Coturnix japonica: one gene and its partner. Each later gene encodes a partner of the first gene's protein in a complex. Links are inferred from orthologs where the notes say so. Each region holds a gene or a part of one and is shown on either strand. Other genes may lie near its edges.

Region 1 (4,301 bases):
TAACAATGTAGCTGGCTGTTAACCCAGGAGTTAAAATCCAGCTATCTCCAGAAATGACAACATGGATGGCAGAAGTTTCATCTGTTGGTTCAAGTTTCCAGATCTCTGACAGGGTACTTCATCACATCAAGGAAATATTGCAGACTGCTCAGTCTTTGGCTTCCATCCCCCAGGCCCTGCCAGATTCATGGTAACTAGACCAGAGACTACTGAAGGTTTTTCTTATGAAAATGAATGGAATACTTTTACTTGGTTGCAGAACTGAGAGACCTCTTCACCACCCCCAGATACTCAGATGAAGTCAGAGAGGAAACACGGCAGAGAAATCAGGGAAATTAACTGTTAATAAGTTCAGTTTTTCAGTTAGGTCATCTTTAGGCAATCCTTACACAAACAAGGGCCATTTTAACCGCATTTATCAGCTGTCAGCAGAGATCATAAAAGAGATTTTAACTACTTAGTGAGGTCGCGTTGCAAATTTACCCAATTTACGTTGACTTTGTAAAAGCACTCTAGAATTGAGGAAGATATTGAAGATATTATTTATTTTGCTGGCATGGAACTTCCTCTGTGCTCACTGGAACACTGAGCCAGGCTAATGCTGCCACTTGGGAACCCCTCGAGAAGGCTGCTTGCTCAGCAAGGTGGAATCACTAAAGTACAAGGGAAAGCATTTTGCTGTCTATAAGCATTTCTGCTAATGTAAGAAACTAAAAACAGATTTTCTTTCAGATTTCTGGAGTGTCACAGGTGGCATCAGGAGGTGGAACCTGGAGGACAAGAAGAGATCCTGGGGGAGGAGAGTAAGTAAAAATATCTGTGGGACACAAGCATTTATATCCAGAAAACCTTACTGACTCTACTAAGTGTGGGAGAGATTCCCCAGTTTAAGATCAGCATTGAAGAAAAGTTCACATCATGTTCTGGAAACCACCGTGACCACCAAGATTTTTCCTTTTCAGATCACTAGAAAAAACAATGTAAGTATCACATAAAAACGTTTCTGTTTTTCTGAAACTTACCAATTGCTCGTCTGAAGTTTTCCATCAGAACTTCTGTTTTCTTGATTTCAGTAGAATAGACCTCACTTCCAACCATAGGACAAAAGGGAACTTTACTGCCAAGTTCCTGAGCAATAGCTAAAGCCAAGGCAGTCTTTAAAAATGGAAAAAGAAATTAAGCATTTCATTTTTATGAGGATTCTTTCTGCACTAAGTTAACTTTCCTCATCGTATCACCTTCACTCTATCAACTACTACTACTATACTATAGTATTATATATATATATACATATATATACTATATTATAACTGCTCTGACATCTCTCACATATAACAAACATCTCCCACCAAAACAAATTAGACACGCATAAGGTGACTTCTACCAATGACTTATAAACACTGTAAAGGAATGATAGTGGACTTCTGAATTTAACATCTTATAGAAATGAGATGGAAAGGGAAAAACAACTAAAAAGAATAACTATTTAGGCTTTTAATATCGAATTAACTTATAAGACTAATCAGAAACTGTCCTGCCTCTGTGTTTGGCAACCTATATTAGGTGCTTTCGCACTAATGATGGCTGCACAAACCAGAGGATGCTGCCAGTGCTAATGACGTGGCAAAAATTAAACACAAAACAGGAGACTGTGTCAATACCTTAATGGAGGAAAAAAAACACAACAGCAGATGAAGACAATATATAACCGCTATTCTAAAATGCTTGTGGCAGCACGTTAAATTACAGCGGATTTCAGAAGGTTTTATTTCTTGCAAGAAAAGGAAAATAAAAATATCAGGATACCTTGCCAGTTCCAGGAGGTCCTGCCAACAGGACAGCTCTGCCAGCCATCTTCTTGCTTTTGATGAGCTCTACTATAACCCCACAAGCCTGCAGGATAAGGGTTGGCACCATTAACAAGAGTACTGTTAAAATACATTTAATTCCAGTGATACTAGAAGTGTTTAGAACTACTGATCTTCTGAGGTGCCAAAATTAAACTGCAGTTCAATGTTATACATAGGAGTGAGGTAAGAAAGAAATCACTTCCTGCAGTCCCTGTATCTGGCACATTAAAGAAATAAATCAAACAGAACTCAAACCAAAGAGCTGGGGATCTTTTTCCCCTTGCAGAGCTGCACGCAGGTATCAAAGCCTAAAAACAGAGCAAGAGGGGAGTAAACTCTTGGAAAGGGCTGATAATAGCAGGACACGGGGAAATGGTTTGAAGTTAAAAGAGGGAAGATTTAGGTTGGATGTTAGGGGGAAGTTCTTCACTAGGAGAGTTCAGGTTAGGGCCCTGCGAAACCAGGCTGCCCAGGGAGGTTGTGGACTGCCCCATACCTTGGAGGTGCTTGTCAAGTGACCCAGCGTTGCTGACGGCGGACCTGTTGCGGGGCAACCTGATCTAGTAAAGGTGATATATGATTTTGCGTGGCCCTTCCACGGCAGGGGGTTGAAACATGATCCTTGAGTCCAGTCCCTTCCAACCCGGGTCATTCTGTGACAAACCCCCACCCGGCCTGTCGCGAGCGGAGCAGGCGGACTTGGCTGGGCCCTGCACCACCTCACGGGCACCAATCTTTGAAGTGGAGCCTTAAAACCCTGTAGATCGTTTATCCGACAATCCAGCGAGTAGTAACGGGCGAATCTCACAGCCCGGGCCTGGCGCTCTATGATCGGCGGCCGTGCCAGCCCGCGAGCAGTGCGCCAGGTGCAGGGGCCCATCTCTCACCTCCCGCGCGTTCTCCTGTCCGCACCAGGCGCGGCGGCCCGCCGGTTTGGCGGAGTGCCGCCGTCTCGTCGCAGCCCCCGGAGGGCCCAGTTAACAGGCTGTTGTGCTGCGGATTGCCGCGGATGCGTCTGTCGCAGGTTGCTCGGTTCACCTCCTCGATCTTCATCGGCGCCACGGGTCTCCCTTCTCCCTCACGTCCACCCGCGCATCACGCGGCCCGCGCGTTACCAAGGCCTACGCCGGCGCGCGGCCTCCTCGGGCTCCCCCGCTCCCGCGCGTCTCGTCAATTGGCCCTGCGTCTGCCGCGCCTCGCGCGGCTGTTGTGATGGTGTCTGCGGTTAGGCGTGACCTGTTCACCGGACGAGCTGCAGCGGCGGGCCTGGCGATACATATTTGAGAGTGTGTGGGCCGTCTGTCGCCGCATTCCGTCGGCTGCGCTCTCGACTCAAAGCGGTCCGGCGTGCGGCGGCGAGGTGCGGGGGAGGGTGGGTGTGGGGAGATGGGCCGGGACCGAGCAGGGGCCGAGCCTTTGGGTGGGCTTTGCTGTCGTCCTGCCTTTACCAGTGTGTTAATTTAACCACTGCTGGTTAATTTTTAACCAGCAGTTATTTACGTTTTACGTGCCCACGGCAATATCTGAGCCTTTAACTTCGCCTTTTTTATAACAGTATAATATAGCGACGGACAGCTCCTCCCCACGTCGAGAGTACTGATAAACTGAGGGGGGAAAACAGTTGTTCGGGGGGTCGTGTCTCATCTCCACACCCTCAGAGCTCCCTCATGTAACAGATCTCCCACCACCATGGCTGTGGGCTCTGCTGTAGTGTTACTGCACCTCTTATGTGGTCCATCAGTGCTTGGGGTGGAAATGCTGTGAAATCTCAGAGGGCGTTTCAGAGCCTGGCTGCCATCCAGTGCGTTCTTCTCTGTTGGTAGATTCTGGGCGAGGAGATGACTCATGGAATTAGTTAAGGTTGGAAAGATTGCCATGAGTGTTTCATCGTAATATCCAACCACGGACCCATGGCACTATGGCCTGATTGCCACCATCCCTGCAGTTACCACATCTGGCGCACGGCGTTCTGGGTATGCGTCAATTCAGAATCGACAGAATGACGGCCGGGTTGGAGGGACCTCTAAGGATTCATTGTAGTTCCAACCCCCCTCGCCTGAGCTGAAGCGGCCACCAAATCTGATCACCAACGCGTTTACTAGGCGATCAGGTTGCCCAGGGCCCCGTCCAACCTGGTCTTGAACACCTCCAAGGACGGGGCATCCACAACCTCCCTGGGCAGCCTGTTCCAGGGCCGAACCACTCTCCTAGTAAAGAACTTCCCCCTAACATCCAATCTAAATCTTCCCTCTTTTAACTTAAAACCGTTTCCCCGTGTCCTGCTATTATCAGCCCTTTCGAAGAGTTTACTCCCCTCCTGGGAGTAAGTTCCCTTCAGGTATTGAAAGGCTGCAATGAGGTCACCCCGCAACCTTCTCTTCTCTAGGCTGAACAAACCCAACTCCCTCAGCCTGTCAAGGAACAGCCTCCAGGGATAGTGTCTGTACCTCT
Region 2 (4,306 bases), on another chromosome or scaffold:
ATGTCTTAATCTTCCATTTCCCTATCTTGTTAATCCCACAAATTCATTCTCTCAGCTGCCTAAAGATGTCTAGCTTCACTTTCAGTTTCCTAAGGGTTAATAATTAAAAAACAGAAGGAGGAGAACTGAGCACACAGAGCTTCCCAAAGGGCACTAAGAAAAGCGACTCCTCTGTGGAAGGACTCCCTCCTGTATCTTCAGCACATGCTGTTTTACCACACATGCAAATCAAGTGGGAACCACATTCATTCAGCCCAGAAAAGCAGGCACAACTGAAGTCCACTTGGTATTTAACATGCAGTTGCCAGCTTTCCCACTGTACTACAACTTGGAAATCTTCAACAGCTACAGAGACAGCTTTTAAACAGTTGAACTATTACCTTTGGTGCAGCAAACTTACTTTTGCATTGAGACAGTGTTTCTGTTCGGTCTACAAGGAAGAATATGTTGCTATTGGGTTGCTGCCTATAAACTTTCTGTAAAATAAATACAACACCACATTAAGTAAAAGTAGCATACACAGGCAACCACACTGCAGCAGAAACTCACTGAAGTCCACTGAGATACCCTTCCCTTTTATGTCTGAAAGATACCTTCTCTGCCATGAGCAATGTCCTCATGTCGCACCAAAACATTTCAGGAACAACCCACAACCATTCTGCATTTTCCTCCTTTCCTCATACTTAAAGGGTCATATTTTGTTTTACATCATATGCACATGAAAAATAAAGAAGCTTTTAACATAAACTGATCCACTCAAACATCATAATATAAAAATTGTGCTAAAGTAAAACCTTGAGACAGCTTCCTGTTACAATGCACAAGTGTAAGTAAACCCTCAAGCGATGTAGACAACATTTTGACACCATACAGAAGATCATATACACATTAAAATCTTTAGTGTAACAACTAAAGATAATGTACTCACTGCAATTTTGTTTGCCCTCTTGCCTCTATACAAATTTATCTGATGCTAAAATGAAGTAAGCAGAAAAAACTTTAATGCTTACCCTGTTCTTCTTCAAATTCGAAAGCTCATCAACTACAACCTTCTGTTCCTTAATCTGAAAGAGAAAAAACACATCTCAATATAATTGTCAACAATAAACTACTGTGTTGCAGTCCTGGAGATTAAAATCTTTACCCATGTTTTTAAGACAGCTATAAAAATATAAGTCACTGTGCCCTGAACAGACCACTAAAATGAAAGTGGACACAGGAATGAAAAAGAAATTTCATTACCCATTATTCCAAGCATACAACAAGTCTTCGGACCACATAACTGAATTACATTTAACACACTTCTTATTGAAATCTAAGTTATGAATTCAACAATAAGACAATGAAGCACTCTAAATAACTGCTTTGGAAGGGAATTATCTTGCATGGTTGACACTGTTCCCATCCCCCCAAAGCAGTCATTACTGGGAAGCCAGAGTACTCCTCGCTGCTCAGAATCCAAAATCACTTCACCCTCAACCTCCCCCAAAAAAACAAACGTATAAACAACTATTAACATTTGTCAGCCTGGAGAAGAGGAGGCTCAGGGGAGACCTTATAGCTCTCTATAACTTCCTGAAGGGAGGTTGTAGTGAGCTGGGGGTTGGCCTCTTCTCTCATGTAAGAGATGACAGAACTAGAGGGAATGGTTTTAAGCTGTGCCAGGGGAGATTCAGGCTGAACATTAGGAAGTATTACTTCTCAGAAAGGGTAGTCAGGCATTGGAATGCACTGCCCAGGGAGGTGGTGGAGTCACCGACCATGGGAGTGTTCAAGAAACGTCTGGATGTTGTGTTGATGAATATGATTTAGCTGGGAAGTATTGGTAACGGTTGGACTAGATGATCTTCTAGGTCTTTTCCAACCTTGATAATTCTGTGATTACGCAACTTAGAGAAAAGATTTACCTACACAATACACTTTATAATCTTATTCTCCAGATTCAAAATGAAAACAGTAAATGAAACAATTAAAAACCTACATAACCAATAACCCCCCCCCCCCCCCCCAAATAAATAAATATGTATAAAACAACCCCAAAACTGTATTAAGATAATTAGAAACACTTCCAGTACACTGGACTTTTAGCACAAAGTTGTCATGCTGCATCTACCGCCATCAGTTCAGCTGCACTGACACAAACAGTCCAATGCTCCTGCTTCCCTGGACAACGTCAGCCACTAAAGACAAAGAGCCATTAAAGACAAAGAGCAATCAGGGCCCATCAAAAAAGCTGAAACACAAAGCTAAAGTGGTTCAACACACACTACTTTCTGTAAGCACAGAACACACCTTACTCCGGTCCTCCTTTCTGCCTCCTGGAATTGGCGCAGATGGAAATAACTACAGGGCTGTATAAGGCAAACTGAACTGAGAAAATGCTGTTTCACCAACAGCTACAACAGCATACTATGATAGTTATTGAAACAGACAAGAACACAGTGCAGTCTTGTGATGCAAAGCAGAACCAGGCATTTCAGCCACGCAGCTAATACGCTGTGTTGTGCTGATGCAGTTGCTCTCTTTAGTCTCTTATGTAACCAATCAACTAGAGAACAACACTAATCTATTGCGATATTAGTGTAGAAGAATAAAGTCACTTTTTATGCGAGGACAACTGACCAGGACTGTACAGAACTCACACTGAACAAAGACAAGACTGCCACTACGAAAAGCCCAGCTTTAAAGCTGGCCTCCTCACTAAACTCCCTCACGACTTGCTCAACAAACCCAGAGAACCACATTCTCCTTCGACTAATCACACACAGCCCATCTCACAACACTAAAAACGGGAAGGGAACTCGCCAGAAGGGCTCACAACACTCGAGCTCCCCCACACCTTCACCTGGGCCACAGCGCAGCTCAGCCTCCAGCACACCCTCCTCCTTCCCACACACAACTATGAGACGCAGGGCAGCACCTCAGACCCTCCATAACTCACCCTCCGGCTCAGCTCCTCCTTACGGCCCAGCTCGGCGCTCTCCTCCTCCTCCCGCCGCGACATCCCCAGCTCGCAGTGCCGGCCGCTGCCGTCGCACAGCAATATACGCACAACGGCTGCGCCTCACGCTGTGGGCTCCAAACAACTGCAGCGACTGCGCATGCGTACAGCAGAGCGGCTGTTAGGCGCGTATGGCTGAGGTGGAGTTATGGCCGTAGTGGCTGTGGAGCAATGAGACCATTTTCCTTCAGTACCGGCTGCCTTGTTGTCGGATCTTTGATAGTATTTTGATTCATGGAGACATTTCCCGTTAGTCCCCTGCTTGAGCTCTACTCATCTGTTGTGCTGTGTCCAGGTGTGGAGCCCTCAGTACAAAAAAGACATGGAGATTTTGGAAAGGGTCCAGAGGAGGGACAGGAAGATGATCAGGGGGCTGGAGCACCTCCCCTATGAGGACAGGCTGAGGGAGTTGGGTTTGTTCAGCCTGGAGAAGAGAAGGTTGCGGGGTGACCTCATTGCAGCCTTTCAGTACCTGAAGGGAACTTACTGCCAGGAGGGGAGTAAACTCTTCGAAAGGGCTGATAATAGCAGGACACGGGGAAATGGTTTTAAGTTAAAAGAGGGAAGATTTAGGTTGGATGTTAGGGGGAAGTTCTTCACTAGGAGAGTGGTTAGGCCCTGGAACAGGTTGCCCAGGGAGGTTGTGGATGCCCCGTCCTTGGAGGTGTTCAAGGCCAGGTTGGACGGGGCCCTGGGCAACCTGATCTAGTAAAGGTGTATGTTTGGTGGCCCTGCCAGGCAGGGGGGTTGGAACTACATGATCCTTGAGGTCCCTTCCAACCCGGGTCATTCTATGATTCTGTTGGAACCTTCATTATCTGTCTTGCTACATTAACCAAAGATGATAAGTGAATGCTTCATCCTTCTGTGCCATCTTCCAAGTAGTAGTAGTGCTTTAGCTTAGGATGCAAGTAGCAGTGTGTCTTCTTGGTGTGGAAACAGAATCAATGAGATGAGACGGCTCAACCTGGCTGTTCCAAAATACACTTAAACAGTAGGACTAAAAGAGTACGACACATCGTGTGAGACAGTGCTGACATTATGAGTAGAACAGAAATGCTGCACGTCCAGCCTGTGTAGCCCTCAGTGAAGGAAGGAGACTGCTGTAAATCCACTGTGTGGAAAGGCATGGAGAGCGTCTGGACGGGCTGATACACGGCAAGGTCCAACTTGCTATTTCTTCATGTGCAAGTGAAATTGGTAAGTGTACAGTAAGAGCTTGAGATGCTATGAAAGGTTGTAGCAGATGGAAGTGTAAGAGATATCTGACATAGGAAATGCCATATGGATGGTGTGGCAGGACTT

Evidence for each region. Proteins that work in one complex are often made in the same cells at the same time.
Region 2: RUVBL1 (region 1) and ASDURF share a complex: the UniProt entries of both Homo sapiens proteins name them as parts of the PAQosome complex. The link is inferred for Coturnix japonica from reciprocal best matches to the Homo sapiens genes RUVBL1 and ASDURF.

What each region holds. Positions count from the first base shown.
Region 1 is NC_029527.1:7,146,664-7,150,964, reverse strand, and holds the start of RUVBL1 (ruvB-like 1), read right to left. Parts: upstream 2,989-4,301; 5' UTR 2,738-2,988; intron 1,894-2,737; 5' UTR 1,855-1,893; coding exon 1,807-1,854; intron 1,156-1,806; coding exon 1,023-1,155; intron 1-1,022. UniProt on the Homo sapiens protein: Possesses single-stranded DNA-stimulated ATPase and ATP-dependent DNA helicase (3' to 5') activity; hexamerization is thought to be critical for ATP hydrolysis and adjacent subunits in the ring-like structure contribute to the ATPase activity.
Region 2 is NC_029522.1:4,422,665-4,426,970, forward strand, and holds the start of ASDURF (ASNSD1 upstream open reading frame protein), read right to left. Parts: upstream 3,072-4,306; 5' UTR 3,005-3,071; coding exon 2,942-3,004; intron 1,065-2,941; coding exon 1,011-1,064; intron 477-1,010; coding exon 401-476; intron 1-400.